Macaca fascicularis: one gene and its partner. The protein of the gene in region 1 purifies or fractionates together with the protein of each later gene. This does not show direct contact. Links are inferred from orthologs where the notes say so. Each region holds a gene or a part of one and is shown on either strand. Other genes may lie near its edges.

The links. Proteins that work in one complex are often made in the same cells at the same time.
Region 2: the proteins of POLR2G (region 1) and MED26 purify together in Homo sapiens (affinity purification with mass spectrometry; 6 studies listed by BioGRID and IntAct, counting the BioPlex papers as one, with this or other methods). This does not show direct contact. The link is inferred for Macaca fascicularis from reciprocal best matches to the Homo sapiens genes POLR2G and MED26.

The regions. Positions count from the first base shown.
Region 1 is NC_088388.1:11,289,189-11,297,124, forward strand, and holds POLR2G (DNA-directed RNA polymerase II subunit RPB7), read right to left. Parts: upstream 5,447-7,936; 5' UTR 5,362-5,446; coding exon 5,093-5,361; intron 3,804-5,092; coding exon 3,644-3,803; intron 1,652-3,643; coding exon 1,601-1,651; intron 1,495-1,600; coding exon 1,429-1,494; intron 1,182-1,428; coding exon 1,110-1,181; intron 615-1,109; coding exon 581-614; intron 361-580; coding exon 347-360; 3' UTR 144-346; downstream 1-143. UniProt on the Homo sapiens protein: Core component of RNA polymerase II (Pol II), a DNA-dependent RNA polymerase which synthesizes mRNA precursors and many functional non-coding RNAs using the four ribonucleoside triphosphates as substrates.
Region 2 is NC_088393.1:16,959,759-16,967,846, forward strand, and holds the start of MED26 (mediator of RNA polymerase II transcription subunit 26), read right to left. Parts: upstream 5,177-8,088; 5' UTR 4,920-5,176; coding exon 4,848-4,919; intron 1-4,847. UniProt on the Homo sapiens protein: Component of the Mediator complex, a coactivator involved in the regulated transcription of nearly all RNA polymerase II-dependent genes.

The DNA of each region.
Region 1 (7,936 bases):
TGGGTTAGTCAGCTCCCCTGGGTGGCTGAGGATAGCAGACGCATCAGTATAAGAAAGAGGGGCTAGTAAGCAGACAACTCCACAGCCTCCTTAAAGAGTTATTGTTACTGCCAAAAAAAAAAAAAAAGAGGATAACACTTCCATGAGAACCAAGGACTTTTTATACTTAGAACACATACTGAAAAATCAGGAGGCAGTAGCTAAGCTAAAAGAAGCACCAGATGCCTTCTGGAATGAGTTGCCTTCCTTGCCTCCACAACAGCAGCCAGACTGGACCTCTGGACAACACGGTAAGTGTGACAATCACACTTCCTACATCAGGACCAAGGGTAGGAAGCCACTAGGCTCAGCTTACAAGCCCTGTGAAACCAGAAAAAGTGCATCAGTTAGACCCAGAATTTGGGGGCAGCCACAACCATGTACTTCTCATCCCAAGGAACGTGTCCTGGATCTTTCAACCAGACAGCGTGAAAGTTTCTTCTGTCTCTCTCTCATTTGGGCATTAAATCCTGTATTACTCCCCACCCCTACACAACCCTTCTCCAGGCAATAACCCCAGCCCATATGATCAGGCACTCACCCAAGTAATCGTCCATCAGGGAGCCAATAGCAAACTGCAGGAAAGATGGTAAAAAGAAAGTGAAGGCCGGGCGCGGTGGCTCAAGCCTGTAATCCCAGCACTTTGGGAGGCCCAGACGGGCGGATCACGAGGTCAGGAGATCGAGACCATCCTGGCTAATACGGTGAAACCCCGTCTCTACTAAAAATACAAAAAACTAGCCGGGCGAGGTGGTGGGCGCCTGTAGTCCCAGCTACTCGGGAGGAGAATGGCGTAAACCCGGGAGGCGGAGCTTGCAGTGAGCTGAGATCCGGCCACTGCACTCCAGCCTGGGCGACAAAGCGAGACTCCGTCTCAAAAAAAAAAAAAAAAAAAAGAAAGTGAAGCCAAGATGAGCACAGAACCAACCTCTACCCCGCAGCCCCAGGCCTTCTGCCCATCCATCCCTTCTTCCTGACAGAAGAGCATAGAACCCCCTGAAACTAGGTGGCAAGAAATCCAACAGCTCTCCGCTCAGCCTGGTATAGGTAGAGGTGGGGAAAAGACTCACAATGTCATTCTTGTCCACACGGGTCCCCACAATCTTTAAGCGGATCTCATCGTCCTGCTGAATCACAATATCCTGGGGAGAGGAGGGAACAGTGTACAGATGCTCCTCAGTTTATGAGAGGTTACATCACAACTACTTCACTGTAAGCCCGGGGGCATATTGAATGCACATCACTTTCGCATCATCGTAAAGTCATAAAATCATGAATCAAGCCATGGTAATTCAGGGACCATCTGTGCTCGGCCATCCTCAGGCCAATATTCTCCCTCAGGATGACTGATTCTCTCTTCCTCTTCCTGACTTCTTTCTGTCCACTTACCTCATCCATTGTCTTGTAACATGGTGGGTTGGAGTTAGGATCAAACTCCATCTCTGAAGGGATGGACTGAAAGGAAAGTGAGATTAGGGTAGCACTTTAAAAGGATGCTTCAGTAGATGGTAATGAATGGGTATCTCTCTTCCTCAGCCCCACCCAGTGTGCCTAGACTTACATGTCGAGAGATGAAGCAAGACATGGGTCCAATTTCTGTGAAGAGTCCAACCTAGAAAAAAATGAGTGATCTTATGGTCATGCACGGTGGCTTATGCCTATAATCCCAGCACTTTGGGGGGCCGAGGCGGGTGGATCATGAGGTCACAAGTTCAAGACCAGCCTGACCAACATGGTGAAACCTTGTCTCTGCTAAAAATACAAAAATTAGCTGGGTGTGGTAGCGCACCTGTAATCCCAGCTACTCAAGAGACTGAGGCAGGAGAATCGTTTGAACCCGGGAGGCGGAGGTTGCAGTGAGCCAGATCTCGCCATTGTACTCCAGCCTGGCAACAGAGCAAGACTCCGTCTCAAAAAAAAAAAAAGAGTGATCTTGCTTTTCTTTGTCCCCTCAAGTGTTGTGTTTTTGTTTTTTGCTTTCTAAATTTTGAGACAGGTTCTCACTGTTGCCCAGGTTGGAAAGCAGTGGTGTAATCACAGCTCACTGTACCTTTGAATTCCTGGGCTCAAGCAATCCTCCCACCTCAGCCTTCCAAGTAGCTGAGACCACAGGTGCACACCACCATGCTAGGCTAATTTTTTAAAACTTTTTGTAGAGACAGAGTCTTGCTATGTTGCCCAGGCTGGTCTCAAACTCCTAGGCTCAAGCAATCTTCCCACTTCTGCCTCCCAAAGCACTGGGATTATAGGTGTAAGCCAGCACACCCAGCCCTCTTCTCTTTTTTTTTAAGCTTTCATTTGTATTTATTTATGTATTTATTTTGAGACAGAATCTCGCTCTGTTGTTCACTCTGGAGTGCAGTGGTGCAATTTCAACTCACTGCAACCTCCACCTCCCACGTTCAAGTGATTCTCATGCCTCAGCCTCCCGAGTAGCTGGGACTACATGCACATGCCACGATGCCTGGCTAATTTTTGTATTTTTAGTAGAGATAGGGTTTCATCATATTGGCCAGGCTGGTCTTGAACTCCCAACCTCAGGTGATCTGCCCACCTCAGCCTCCCAAAGTGCTGGGATTACAGATGTGAGCCACCATGCCCAGCCTAACCTTTCATTTTAAAGTATTAAAGAGCTTAGGCCTGTTAGTCCAAGATTTGAACACCTGTTGGCCACATGATCTTGGCCAATACACTTAACTTCTTCTAAGCTTCAGCTTCTGTAAAAAGCACCCACTGGCCGGGGGCAGTGGCTCACGCCTACAATCCCAGCACTTTCGGTGGCTGAGGCAGGCAGATCACCTGAGGTCAGGAGTTTGAGACCAGCCTGACCAACATGGAGAAACCTCATCTCTACTAAAAATACAAAAATTAGCTGAGCGTGGTGGCGCATGCCTATAGTCCCAGCTACCTGGGAGGCTGAGGCAGGAGAATCACTTGAACCCAGAGGCGGAGGTTGTAGTGAGCCAAGATTGTGCCACTGCACTCCAGTCTGGCGACAGAGCTAAACTCCATCTTAAAAAAAAAAAAAAAAGGAAAGCACCCACCTTTTAGTCATTGTGAGTCTCTGCACTTCACCTGGCCCACAGTCACTACTCAATCAACACAGGCTTTTATTGTTATGACTATTAATGTTGACTCTTGCCCTCTGAGTTGGGCAGGGAAGATTACCATACAATTTGAAAGTGCAGCACAAGAAGTAAAGTGATGGCTAGGCGTGGTAGCTCACACCTGTAATCCTAGCGCTTTGGGAGGCCGAGGAAGGCAGATTGAGCTCAGGAGTTCGAGATCAGCCTGGGCAACATGGCAAAACCCTATCTCTACTAAAAAAATACAAAAACTTAGCCGGCAATGGTGGCACCTGCCTTTAGTCCCAACTACTTGGGAGGCCGAGGCAAGAGACTCACTGGAACCCAGAAGGCAGAGGTTTCAGTGAGCCAAGATGGCACCACTGCACTCCAGCCTGGGCGACAGAGCAACACTCCGTCTCAAAAAAAAAAAAAGAAGTAAAGTGACTTAGCTGAAGGCACAGTTATGAAGTGGAGCCAGGACCCAACCCAGATCTACTGAGAGACTACCCCAATGCCTCCCCTACGTATGGTCTCACCTTGTTGACCTGAGTTACAACAGCATCCACGACCTCCCCTTTAAAGGGCCGGAAAACAATGGCCTTGTACTTAACTGGATAAAGGACAAAGCCTCGGCCTGGCTGGATCACACCAGCACCAATATTGTCAATGGTGGTGACAGCAATTACAAAGCCATACCTGCAAGGAGGATGAGAAACAGAAAGACATTGTGTGTCCAAGAGCCTCTAGAGACATCTGCAATAAAAGTCACTGAGCTCTTGGGAGTAGTGTCGGGGAGAGCAAAAGGACAAGTAGATAGCACCTCTGCTCCCAGAGAGCTTAATGACCAAGAGAAGACAGAACACAGATCAGTATGGGCTGGGCGCGGTGGCTCAAGCCTGTAATCCCAGCACTTTGGGAGGCCGAGACGGGCGGATCACGACGTCAGGAGATCGAGACCATCCTGGCTAACCCGGTGAAACCCCGTCTCTACTAAAAAATACAAAAAACTAGCCAGGCGAGGTGGCAGGCGCCTGTAGTCCCAGCTACTCGGGAAGCTGAGGCAGGAGAATGGCCTGAACCCGGGAGGCGGAGCTTGCGGTGAGCTGAGATCAGGCCACTGCACTCCAGCCTGGGCCACAGAGCGAGACTCCGTCTCAAAAAAAAAAAAAAAAAAAAAAGAACACAGATCAGTATGTATAAGACCAAATGCTGTTCTGGTAATTTCACAGTAAATGTACAAGAAGGCTGGAGTCCTTGAGGAAACAGATCTCAATCTTCGGGATGCCTGAGAATCATCTTCTTAAAATGCAGATTCTCAGGTCTGCCTCACAGAGTCTTGATTCTGTAGGGAATAAGGAGGCTCAGGAATCTGCATGTTCCTGCAGGTTTTTCTGATGCTGGAGGCCCAAGTACTCCACTGCCCTGGGCTGGGTCCCAGCTCATTAATATCACAGAAGGCCCTCAGTGCAAAGCCCAGAGATGGTCAAGTCCCAGTCTACTTCCTTCCTCCCCCAAACTTTCGATCCACTTTTTCTGGTCATCCATTCAGAAGATATATAGAGGCCCACGGTGTGTGGTCCCTGGACACAGGGGATAAGAGAAAACCAGCAGAATGACAGAGTGAGAGGAGACACAGGAACAATGACTACACTGTGAGCTCCACAAGAGCTGGCCTCATTCTATCTTGTTCCCATTCTACCTTGTTCTGAGCCCAACACGGGTCCTGGCACACACCAAGTGTTTTTAAAATGTCTGAGGAGTAAATGAATGAATGACCAATCTCAGCTGAGGGAAGGAAGTCTTATTGTCCAGCATTGCAGAGGGCGCCCTGGGAACCCAAAGCAGGAAGCAACTGGCTGCCTGAGAGGGTGAGCGGGGTCCCTAGAGTGGGTGGCAGGACTAAATAGGAGTTGCGGAGGGTTTGCAGGTATAGCGACCCGTGTGCGCATCGAACGATCTGGCGGCACGGTGAGCTCGGCACTCACTTCCCTGTGCAGGTCCCCTCCACTTCGGTGAAGAGCTTCTGCTTCACCGTGTTGAGCAAGTTGGGGCCGAAGTAGCGCGGGTGCAGCAGGATTTCGTGCTCTAGGGAGATCTGCGGAGAAAAGAGGGATGGCGACCAGGCCACGCGCTGGGAGCTTATCAGACGACAAGGGGAGCCTCGCGCCGGCGCCTGGCCTTGCTCCTCCTTTCCACCCAGCCCTTGCCGCCACCCTGGGCCCTGCTCACATGGTAGAACATCTTCCCAGAGCATGAAGGCAGGAACAGTCCACACCTCCGACCGCCCCTGGGAATCTACCGGAAACACACTTAGCCGCCGCAACCCCAGTTCCGCGCCTGCTGCGTCGTTGAGAGCGGAACTCCACCTCCTCAGCGAGGGCGGAACTCCACCTGCTCCACGGGTCTGATTGGGCCTTGTAGCCGTGGGCGTGAACCACTAAGCCCCGCCCCTCACCACCGCCCCGCCCCCCCACCGGCCATCAAACCACAACTCTCTTTTTTTTGTTTTGAGACGGATCTGGCTCCGTCTCCCAGGCTGGAGTGCAGTGGCGCGATCTCGGCTCACTGCAAGCTCCGCCTCCCGGGTTCGGGCCATTCTCCTGCCTCAGCCTCCCCAGTAGTTGGGACTACAGGCGCCCACCACCGCGCCCGGCTAATTTTTTGTATTTTTAGTAGTGACGGGGTTTCACCGGGTTAGCCAGGCTGGTCTTGATATCCTGACCTTGTGATCCGCCCTCCTCAGCCTCCCAAAGTGCTGGAATTACAGGCGTGAGTCACAGCGCCCGGCCAATTTTGTGTTTTTAGTAGAGATGGGGTTTCTCCATGTTGGTCAGGCTAGTCTCAAACTCCCAACCTTAGGTGATCCACCCACCTCGGCCTCCAAAAGTGCTGGAATTACAGGCGTGAGCCACTGTGCCCGGCCAGCAACTCTCTGAATTGCTTGAACCTGGGAGGCCACTGCACTCCAGCCTGGGCAACAAAAGCGAAACTCCATCACAAAAAATAATAATAAATAATAGCTACCACTTACTGCTTTCTTCCTAAATGCCAGACACTGTGTTAAGCCCTTTATATAATTATCTCCCTTAATTCTCATAATAATCTACAGAAATTGGTGTAGAAATAACAAAAAATTTACATGAGCCTTAGTCGAAAGGCCAGGAAACTACAGAAAATAATGAAATTTAGGCTGAGCGCAGTGGTTTACGCCTGTAATCCCAGCACTTTGGAAGGCGGAGGCGGGCAGATCATGGGGTCAGGAGATTGAGACCATCCTTGCTAACACGGCGAAACCTCGACTCTACTAAAAATACAAAAAATTAGCCGGGCGTGGTGGCATGTGCCTGTAGTCCCAGCTACTCAGGAGGCTGAGGCAGGAAAATCGCTTGAACCCGGGGGGCGGAGGCTGCGGTGAGCTGAGATCGCGCCACTGCACTCCAGCCTGGCAACAGAGCAACACTAAGAAAGAACGAAAGAAAGAGAGAGAGAGAAAGAAAAAATTTAAAAGCTATTGCAATCCCAAAAAATATTTTAAGCCTCGAGAGAGATATGACTGTGAGTCACATATAGTTTACAACTTCTGTTCTCAGATTATAGATTAATTCACTTTCTTTTTTTTGAGAGGGAGTCTCGCTGTGTCACCCAGGCTGGAGTGCAGGAAATCCATGACTATTTCATCCTCTGTTAAAAAAATGTTACATACCCCCGGCACCATGGCTCACGACTGTAATCCCGGCTACTTGGGAGACTGGGGCAGGAGAATTGCTTGAACCCGGGAGGCAGAGGTTGCAGTGAGCCGAGATCGTGCCACTGCACTCCAGTCTGGGAGACAGAGCAAGATTCCCTCTCAAAAAAAAAAAAAGTTACATGTGAATCACAAGGTCAGAAGTTCAAGACCAGCCTGGCCAACATAGTGAAACCCCATCTCTACTAAAAATACAAAAAATTGGGGCCGGGCGCGGTGGCTCAAGCCTGTAATCCCAGCACTTTGGGAGGCCGAAACGGGTGGATCACAAGGTCAGGAGATCGAGACCATCCTGGCTAAGACGTTGAAACCCCGTCTCTACTAAAAAATACAAAAAAATAGCCAGGCAAGGTGGCGGGCGCCTGTAGTCCCAGCTACTCGGGAGGCTGAGGCAGGAGAACCGCGTGAACCCGGGAGGCGGAGCTTGCAGTGATCTGAGATCTGGCCACTGCACTCCAGCCTGGGCCACAGAGAGAGACTTCGTCTCAAAAAAAAAGAAAAAAAAAATACAAAAAATTAGCCGGGCGTGGTGGCAGGTGCCTGTAATCCCAGCTACTTGGGAGACTGAGGCAGAAGAATCCCTTGAACCTGGGAGGAGGAGGTTGCAGTGAGCCAAGATCGTGCCACTGCACTCCAGCTCAGGCAACAGTGCCAGACTCCAAATCAAAAAACATTGAAAAAAAAAAAGTTACATGTACTTTTCCCAAAAAGAAACATTGTCTATAGCCAACCAAATTACTATAACTATGTACCAATCTTCTATGAAAAATGTAATCCTGCTAAAAAGTCCTGTGTGCTTGCCTATATGTGGGGAAAGAGATCAGACTGTTACTGTGTCTATATAGAAAGAAGTAGACATAAGAGACTCTATTTTGTTCTGTACTAAGAGAAATTCTTCTGCCTCAACTTGCTGTTAATCTGCAACCCTAGCCCCAAGCCATGTGTACAGCACATGTGCAGAGACAGGTGCTGGGTTGACTCAAGGTTTAAGGGATTTAGGGCTATGCAGGATGTGCTTTGTTAAAAAAGTGCTTGAAGGCAGTATGCTTGTTAAAAGTCATCACCATTCTCTAATCTCAAGTAC
Region 2 (8,088 bases), on another chromosome or scaffold:
TCTTGGACAGTCCTCCAGGGCTTGGGGACCTCCAACCAGGACAGCACAGTCTGAGGACCACACAGAAACCTCAGTGAGGACAGACTGTAAAGTCCACTTTCTCCTGAGGGACAGAATGAGTCAAAGACAAGGACATACACCTGTGTCACAGGTGACACTTGCTACCTTTCTGTTTCCCAAAGTCAGAGAACACCACGCTGCTCCTCTGCTGTGTCCTGGCCACAACAGACAAGAGTAAAGACAGAAGAGTCCCTGAATCTGGGCAATTGTGGAGCAGTGGGCATTTACATGTTTGGGTTTAGGGTCCCCTATTTTGGATAGGGTCAGAATCAAAAGTCCTTCATTTTGCAATTTATACTATTCTGCTTTTCTGCAGAATAAATGGCATTTTAAGTTAATATCAAAAGTGCTGTAATGTTGAAGTAGAGAGCAAACTGGTCACACAGACTCATGAAAAGTTCCATATTAGTTGCTAGTTGCCACACTGTGGTCTGGCCCAGGTTTCTGTCCGTGACAGAGACCTTAAGATGTTCACGGGACAGGCTGTCTCATATCATCACCCTGTTAGATCTAACATAGGTAGATCCAGCCCCAGGCTGTAATCTCACATAAACTCATAGGGGACGTTACAGGATCCCCACAAGTTTTCTTATCAGCTCAAAAACGCTGCCCCCTCGTGCCTCTTCTGGAGCCATCTCTCCATCTTTCAAGACAGCGTGGTGGTGTTCAGAGTTGGAAGGACTCTAAGGACTGTCACTTAATGACTCTGGGTAAGTCCCTAACTTTGGTTCCACCACCTCCCATTAAGTCAGTAAGAAACAAAAGCATTTTGTCCTCTGCTTGCCCCAGGAGACACCACTGAGCAGCACCTACTACCTGATGCTGCTGGCTTCTGCACCTGCGAAAGGGGAGACTGGCTCTCCCACTCACAAGGCTGTTGGGAGGAAGCAGAACTCTCTGACGGGTGCCACACAAACTAACAAAGCATACACCTTGGTTTAGAATTTTGTTAGCTGAGAAACTTCAAACAATGTACCTTGCAAAGATATATTAAAAACAAAACAAAACAAAACAAAAAACCCTTCTAGAACAATTGACATTAGACTCTGCTGTCCCTTCCAGGATCTGAACTTAGATCTGGAAGGAGGTTTATGGGGTGCATACACCCGTTCCCAATCCCACCCTGTGGACAAGAAATCTGCAGGAAAGTCAAGGTAAGCAACATCCAACCTTCCAATTCTTAGGTGGGAAAATTATCTTTCTTGCTGGGTCTCTCTGCAGCGTGCCTTGGTCACCTCCCCCTTGGTCTCTGTTGCCTGAAGAGCTGTAAGAAAGCAAGCAGCTCCCAAGGACGTTTCCCACTCAGAGCCTGACAGCTGGAGGCACTGACACAAGCAGCCAGGGCTAGTTCAAGTCCCTCTTTGCTGCAGGACCTTCTCAGGCCTCTCCCTGCTCTGAACACAGGACATTCACCTGCAGTTAGCAAGCCCTGCCCTGTGCTGTTATTTTATTTGTCATGAGGATGCAGTACACCGTCTACTATCTGTTGGACCTTTCCTCTAAAAGCTAAGTTTGTTAATCATCACTTAACATCCATATTCCTCACAGTTCTACTGAGTAGCGTCTCAAGTCACCTGTGACTCCTTCCCTCTCCAAAGTTCTGCATTAGAATATTCCACGACTGTACTTTTGGGCATAAAGCAGTTACAAAGGCTTCCTAGTAAAATGGGGTTCACATGTAGCTCCTCAGGCACAGGTCCAAGATGGATGCTAGGGTTCAGTCAGTTTAAGCAGCAGATAGAAAGTGTGCCAAATGCTTCTGCTCTAGAGGGAGAAGACAAGACATGAAACATCCCAAGAAGCTTGTGTGCCGCACAGGAAGATAAAGCTCGTACCTCCACAAAACAAAGAGTGTCCCAGGCAGATGGGAACCGAATCACCTGCTGAGGAGACTGCTCACTACGACTGCTGTGCGAGAGTAAGACACAGTCCTTCACTTTACCCACAATGCAGCGAGAGTAAGCTGGAACAATCATGCACACACTGCGCTTCGGAGAGATTTTCAACACCCTGGGCTGAAAGGGTGCACAACGAAAAGAAAAGCTCCGACTGCTCTGAAAAACCGTTAGTAGCCTTTTGAAAAGGAGAGTAGAGGATTTACTTTATTACTGAATTGGCAGAAATTATTAACTCTGAGCCTGCTGCTATAGGAATTCAAATGCATACTCCAGGGGCTAAAAGAGCACAGAAACAACTTTCCTCGTAAGAATTTCTTTGTCAAGGAGATGGTTGGTAAACACGACTTCGTCACTTCCCTAACTTTCCAGATACTTTTGGATATTAGGTCAGTTCCTGACACTGATTTTGCAAGCAATAGCTAAGTTTGTTAACCATAATTGCATGCCCATAAAGGTAAGCATTACATGACACAATTCTCTGCCGCTTCTCTCAGAAGAGGTTTAATTTTAGTGTTGGCTCTTCAACACTGTCCCCGTTTTTTTTTTTTTTTTCCACGAGCATCTTAAATATGTGTCAACTAAATATCCAGTAGTGGAATTCATCATTGGGCAGGGCAGAGAGGAGAGACCGGCACACCGGCAGCACCTGTGCTGGAGCCACCTGCTCTCACCTGAGCCCACATTGATCCGAGAGAAACTGCAGACACACTGACATGCCCAGCTCTCACCACCACCTCCGCCAGCAAACCCCGTCCACTGCAGCTCTGTTTCTGCATGGTGTTTGCTCAAAGCGAACGGTCCTGTCAAACGGCCCATAACAGCGCTCAGAGGATCAATCACAAAGGAGGCACTTTCCTCATTGCTCATAATCAAGAAGATAATTTCCCAAATCCATCCACCCCATGTTAGTAGGACTCTGCCCAAGATCATCACCAAAGTCCTTGAAAATAAGCGATATGAAATGCAAATTCCATGTCAGGTAACATAACCAGGGACCTATATAACATTTCTGCATGAGCTGAGACACACAAAACTAAGATTTGTTCCGTCCTCTTTTCTTCTGCCTCAAGGAACCCTTTTGATTAGAGCCTTACACAATACTGGAAACTGTGAGGTCACTGGAGTGACCTAATCTACAACACTGTGATCGCCTGTCAAAGTGCCGCCTGATCCCAAAGCTCTCTGAGGTGGCATTAAGGATCAGTGCTAATATCTCAGCAACCTCTCAGACTCTCCAGAAGGAAAGCGAGTGCGTGAAATTCAAAAAATTACCTTCTGGCTCCACAAAAGATGTACAAGTCACCAAGGCTATTTTTTTCATGTCACTAGTTTTATCCTCTAATATTTCAATCTTAAAATTGCAGTGGCACCAGTTACTGCAAAAAGGACATTCGAGAAGGTTTTATATAGCTTGTGCCCACTCCACCCCCAAAGTCATAACAAAAATGTATAATATAACATTTGTTAAAGACAATTACCATCAAGTCAATGTTAATGGGACCTGAATACCAGGGATAAGAGAAGTACTTATATCACAGCAAAAACAGGGCCTTAGAAAAAAACTCATAACCCTTCAATCTTACCAAAAATTGTATAAGTCAACGTGAATTATTCCAAAAACATCATCAGAGTTAAGCATACTGCTAAGAGTAATCAGCCAAGCTCATGTAAAACTACAAGTAAAAACCCCTACGGTGAGAGAAACCTGAGTTACCTGGCCAAGCCAAAGATGATTTTTTTCTTCCATTCACAGCATATTAAAAAGTGATCTCAATGGCCACTTCCTGGGAAGCAGGGCCTCACTTCATACCTGGATGCTACTGCATCTTCCCACCGCCCTGCTCCTGCCGCGGGAAGTATGACCCCTACTGCCAAGAAACTCTTGGAGAAAATATGAGAATAGATCAGTCTTCCCACCCCCACCCCACCCCCGCAACAACACACATACACACACACAGATACACAGCCACACATACGGAGGGGGAAGGGGCGGTCCCTCCGCCAACAGTAGCCTCAGCAAAGGGGCACCCGAGGAAGCGACACCCTGGAGTTAACCCTGACAGTCTGGGTCAATAGCCACCAGGCTGAGACCCCCAGGTGAGGGAAAGAGCCTACTGAAACAGGGCTCTTGGGTAAACGGGAGAGAAAAGTCCTCTTTAATTCACTACCCAAAAAAATGGAGCTCTGGCTTGGTCAGAGACGCAATGGGTACTGAGGCCCAGAAAGGCAACAGGAAGGATCCCACCCTCCCCGAAATCATCTGTCGCTGGCAGCGACCCCAAGAGGGTTTTGGCGAAGGCGTGTCCAGTCACAGAAGGGAGACAGACTCTCCACGTACCCTGGGTACCCGGCCAGGGGCAAAACACACTGGGGGTTCTCTCCGAAGCCAGGAAGGTGCTGCCAGCCGGGAGGAGGGGGAAGGACTTCTCTCATAACCCAGAAGGCTAAGACATGGGAGACACAGGCTCCCCGAGTCATACCCCGGACACCAGTTGCTTCACAGCCCTTCTCCCTCCCCTCCCCCGCTCCGGGAGGGCTTCCCGGGGGTCTCAGGTCCCGGAGGGAGGGCGATGCAGGGCAGCTTCGTCCAGAGCAGTGAGGGTCATAGAGCTGGAGCAGAAAGGGGAGATAAACTCTACCCTTAGCCCCCCGTCTGCTTCCTCCGCCCAGGCCGCACGGAAGCCTCGGCCTCACGTACCAAGCGCTGCCGGGCTGCCCGACCTGCCCCCGGCCCGGGCCCGAGGAGTGAGAGGCAGAGATGGCAGCGGCCCTCGAGGGGAGGTGGGCGCCAGACGGGTCCCCCGAAGCCCGGTGGGCGAGGGGGACAGGAGAGGGGGAGGGTCCCAGGCCCATGCGGCCTCCGTCCCAGCTCGCGCGGCGGGTACTTACGTTGCTCTGGGGGTCGATGGCCTGCAGCAGCCGGTCCCTGATCTGCTGCGGAGACGCCGGAGCCGCTGTCATTGCCTGGGCGAGGCGGGGGTTGCGGCCGGGCCAGCGGGCGGGCGGGCTGAGGCGGGGGACGGGGGTCACTCACTCGCCGGCCTCCGGGAGCCGGAGCCGCATGTTCCCCGCGGCGCCGGAGGGTTAGGTGCGCGCGGGGTGGCGGAGAGGGGAGCCGGGGCCGGGTCTCGGTCCCGGGCCGCCGCCGCCACCGGAGGAGGAGGAGCCGCCGGAGCCGCCGCCGCTTGCTGCCGCCGCCTCGAGAACCAAACTCCAGTGAGCTGCCCCCGCGCGGAGTACTCTGGGTAGTCCGCGCCGCACGCAGCGTCGGCGCCACGCTGAGGAGGTTGGGAGATGGGACGGGCGGAGACGCCAGGCATGGGCGGGGCTGCCCGTGCGCCCCGCCCCGCGCCTCCGCGCACGCGCGCGCAGGCGCACTCACCCGCCTGTGCCGCCCCGCCCCGCCGCCCGGCCTAGGCAGCCGTTGGGAGGAGGTTGGGCGGGGCAACGGTCGCTGCCTGGAGACCCCGCCCCCGCCCGGGTCGCGGGGCGGGGCTTTCTGACGGAAGCGCGCGCGCAAAGAGTCCTTGAACCCGGACGCTCGCGGCGGCTACCTCAGGGCAGGGAGGGCGGCGGGAAAATCCTTCCTCTAGGAGAGCCTTCCCGGCGCGTGACTGGGGGATGAGAGTCGCAGGCTGAGCAGCTGCCGAAGTTTTTGTGAGGGCGAGGGAAGCAGACGTCCACGTTGTGATTCTGCGCACGGAAGGGTCATCGGAGGAGTCCAGGGGTGTCGCCGCGGCCGCCCCCGCCCCTTAGAGAGTGTGGGAATGGGTGTGGTGACGGGCGGGGGTCTGCATCGCCACGCGCGACCCCGATCGCGAAAACGTGAGGCGGCAAAGAAGCCGCCCCCCGTAGCTGGGAACGCTGGAAAGCCGGAGGTTGCAAATCTGCGTCTACGCCGCGGCTTCTCCACCTCGGCGCCACTGGCATTTGGGCGATATTGCTCTGTCGTTGGGGCGGGTCCCGCGATCTGTCGAAAGTTGAGCGGCATTTCTGGCCTCAGAAGCGCCCCCTCCCCCAGTCTGCAGTCATTGCCGCCATCCCTTGTTGGGGCACAGTCCCCCCGCCCCGCTACCGGCAGAAAACCCCGTGATTGAAAGACCCTTCTACCCGCCTCTGCCTGGAGGTGCTGTAAAACTGAGATGCTCATTCTCTTAACCAAACACGTCACAGGAGGAAACGGAGGCCCAAGGTCACCTAGACTTCGGGGTTAAGCCCAGAACCGCAGGTGTCAAGTTTAAGGGCGCCCCTCCTCCCTCCACCCTACTTATTGCCTTCTGTAATTGCTCCCCTCTCTCTGGGAACTCTGTTGGAAATGCTGTTGTGAGACGGGGTGGAAAGGCAAGCTCGGCGGCCTCGGGAGAAATCTTTTTTTTCCCCACTGTTACAGGAAGACCTAGATTTAAAACAGGAGGAAGACGGCTGATGAGAACCACATGTGTGCCTTGGCGCTGCCTGGCACCTGTTAGTCTTGTATTTGTTGTGCTTCTGGGAAATGTTTTCATTTGCAAAAACGGCTGCTTCTGCACGTGGCTATAGTTGCGTGCTTCTGCACATGTGAAAAGTTTTACATCCACTTGGAGGAGAAAAGAAACACGGGCAAAACACTTGTCATTTACTGCTCCCAACCTCACCCCTCCCAGAATGCGGAGCATTGTGTATATGGTGTACATGGTCCAAGTTGGAAACTGGCCCATTCGGAGATAATTCTTTATCTCATTTCTGATAAGCAAAATAAACAAAGCCTTCCTCAGGCATATTCTGGTCTTGCCTTTCAATTTCTAACTCGGATGTACAGTATCTTTTTTTTTTTTTTTTTTTTAAATAAAGGATTACATAGGAGACAATTTATTTTGCATGGGTCAAGTTATTTTAAGAAACATTTGGGCGGGAGTGGTGGCTCAAGCCTGTAATCCCTGCACTTCAGCAGGCTGACGCGGGTGGATCACTTGAGCTCAGGAGTTCGAGACTAGCCTGGCCAACATGGTGAAACCCCATCTCTACAAAAAATACAAAAATTAGCTGGGCGTGGTGGCGCGCACCTGTAATCTTGGCTACTAGAGGGGGCTGAGGCAGGAGAATTGCTTGAACCCGGGAGGCAGAGGTTGCAGTGAGCCAAGATTGCACCACTGCACTCCGGGCTGGGCAACAGACTCTGTCTCAAATGAACAAAAACAAACAAAATGTGGGGCCAGCCATGGTGGCTTATGCCTGGTAGCTCATGCCTGTAATCCCAGCACTTTGGGAGGCCGAGGTGGGCAGATCACTTGCAGTCAGGAGTTCAAGACCTGCGTGGCCAGAATGGTGAAACCCCTTCTCTACCAAAAAATCAAAAATTAGCCGGGCATGGTGGCACCTGTAATCCCAGCTACTTGGAAGGCTGAGGCAAAAGAATTGTTTGAACCCAGGAGGCAGAGGCTTCAGTGAGCTGAGATCATGCCGCTGTACTCCAACCTGGGTGACAGAGCAAGACTGTCTTGAAAAATAAACATTGGAAAGTACTCAACTTACCTGTTTTTTAAAAACTAAGAAGCATTGACATGACTGAGTTCCTCAAGGGCACTGGCTCTTTTTGGTATCCCCAGTAGACAGAAAAATAATATTTGTGGAGTAAGTCAATGAAAGTTTCATCAAATACACGGTAGTGTTACACACACCCCCAGACACATGAATGCATTTCAGTTTCTACAGATCTGGTACACCATGGGTCTCAACAGCTATTTCCAGAATGAATGAAATACTTCATAAAATATAATACTATATACACCAGGATACACAAAACACACACGGATAGTTTTATTCCACATTTAATATATGTAAAAGGGTGCTTTTGTAAATGCAAAGATTGAATCAGATAACCACTGAACAGCAGTCTTGAAAACATTAGCAAGTTCTCTTAGGTCCAGGGTGGATACTGCAGTTCACTTAGCCAACTTTCTGCATTGAGACATCCTTGCCAGGAATCCTGTCAGTTATGCAAAGATGCGGCACAAGATAACTACTCTTGCTGTGATGGTTCGTCCTCAATGACAGGTCCCTTATAGTATTTAGGTACAACAAGGTCTTTTGTGCTTGGAATGCCCTTGAAAAAGCTGCCTCACCTGTTAGTGAGGGGAATCCCAAAGAGAAA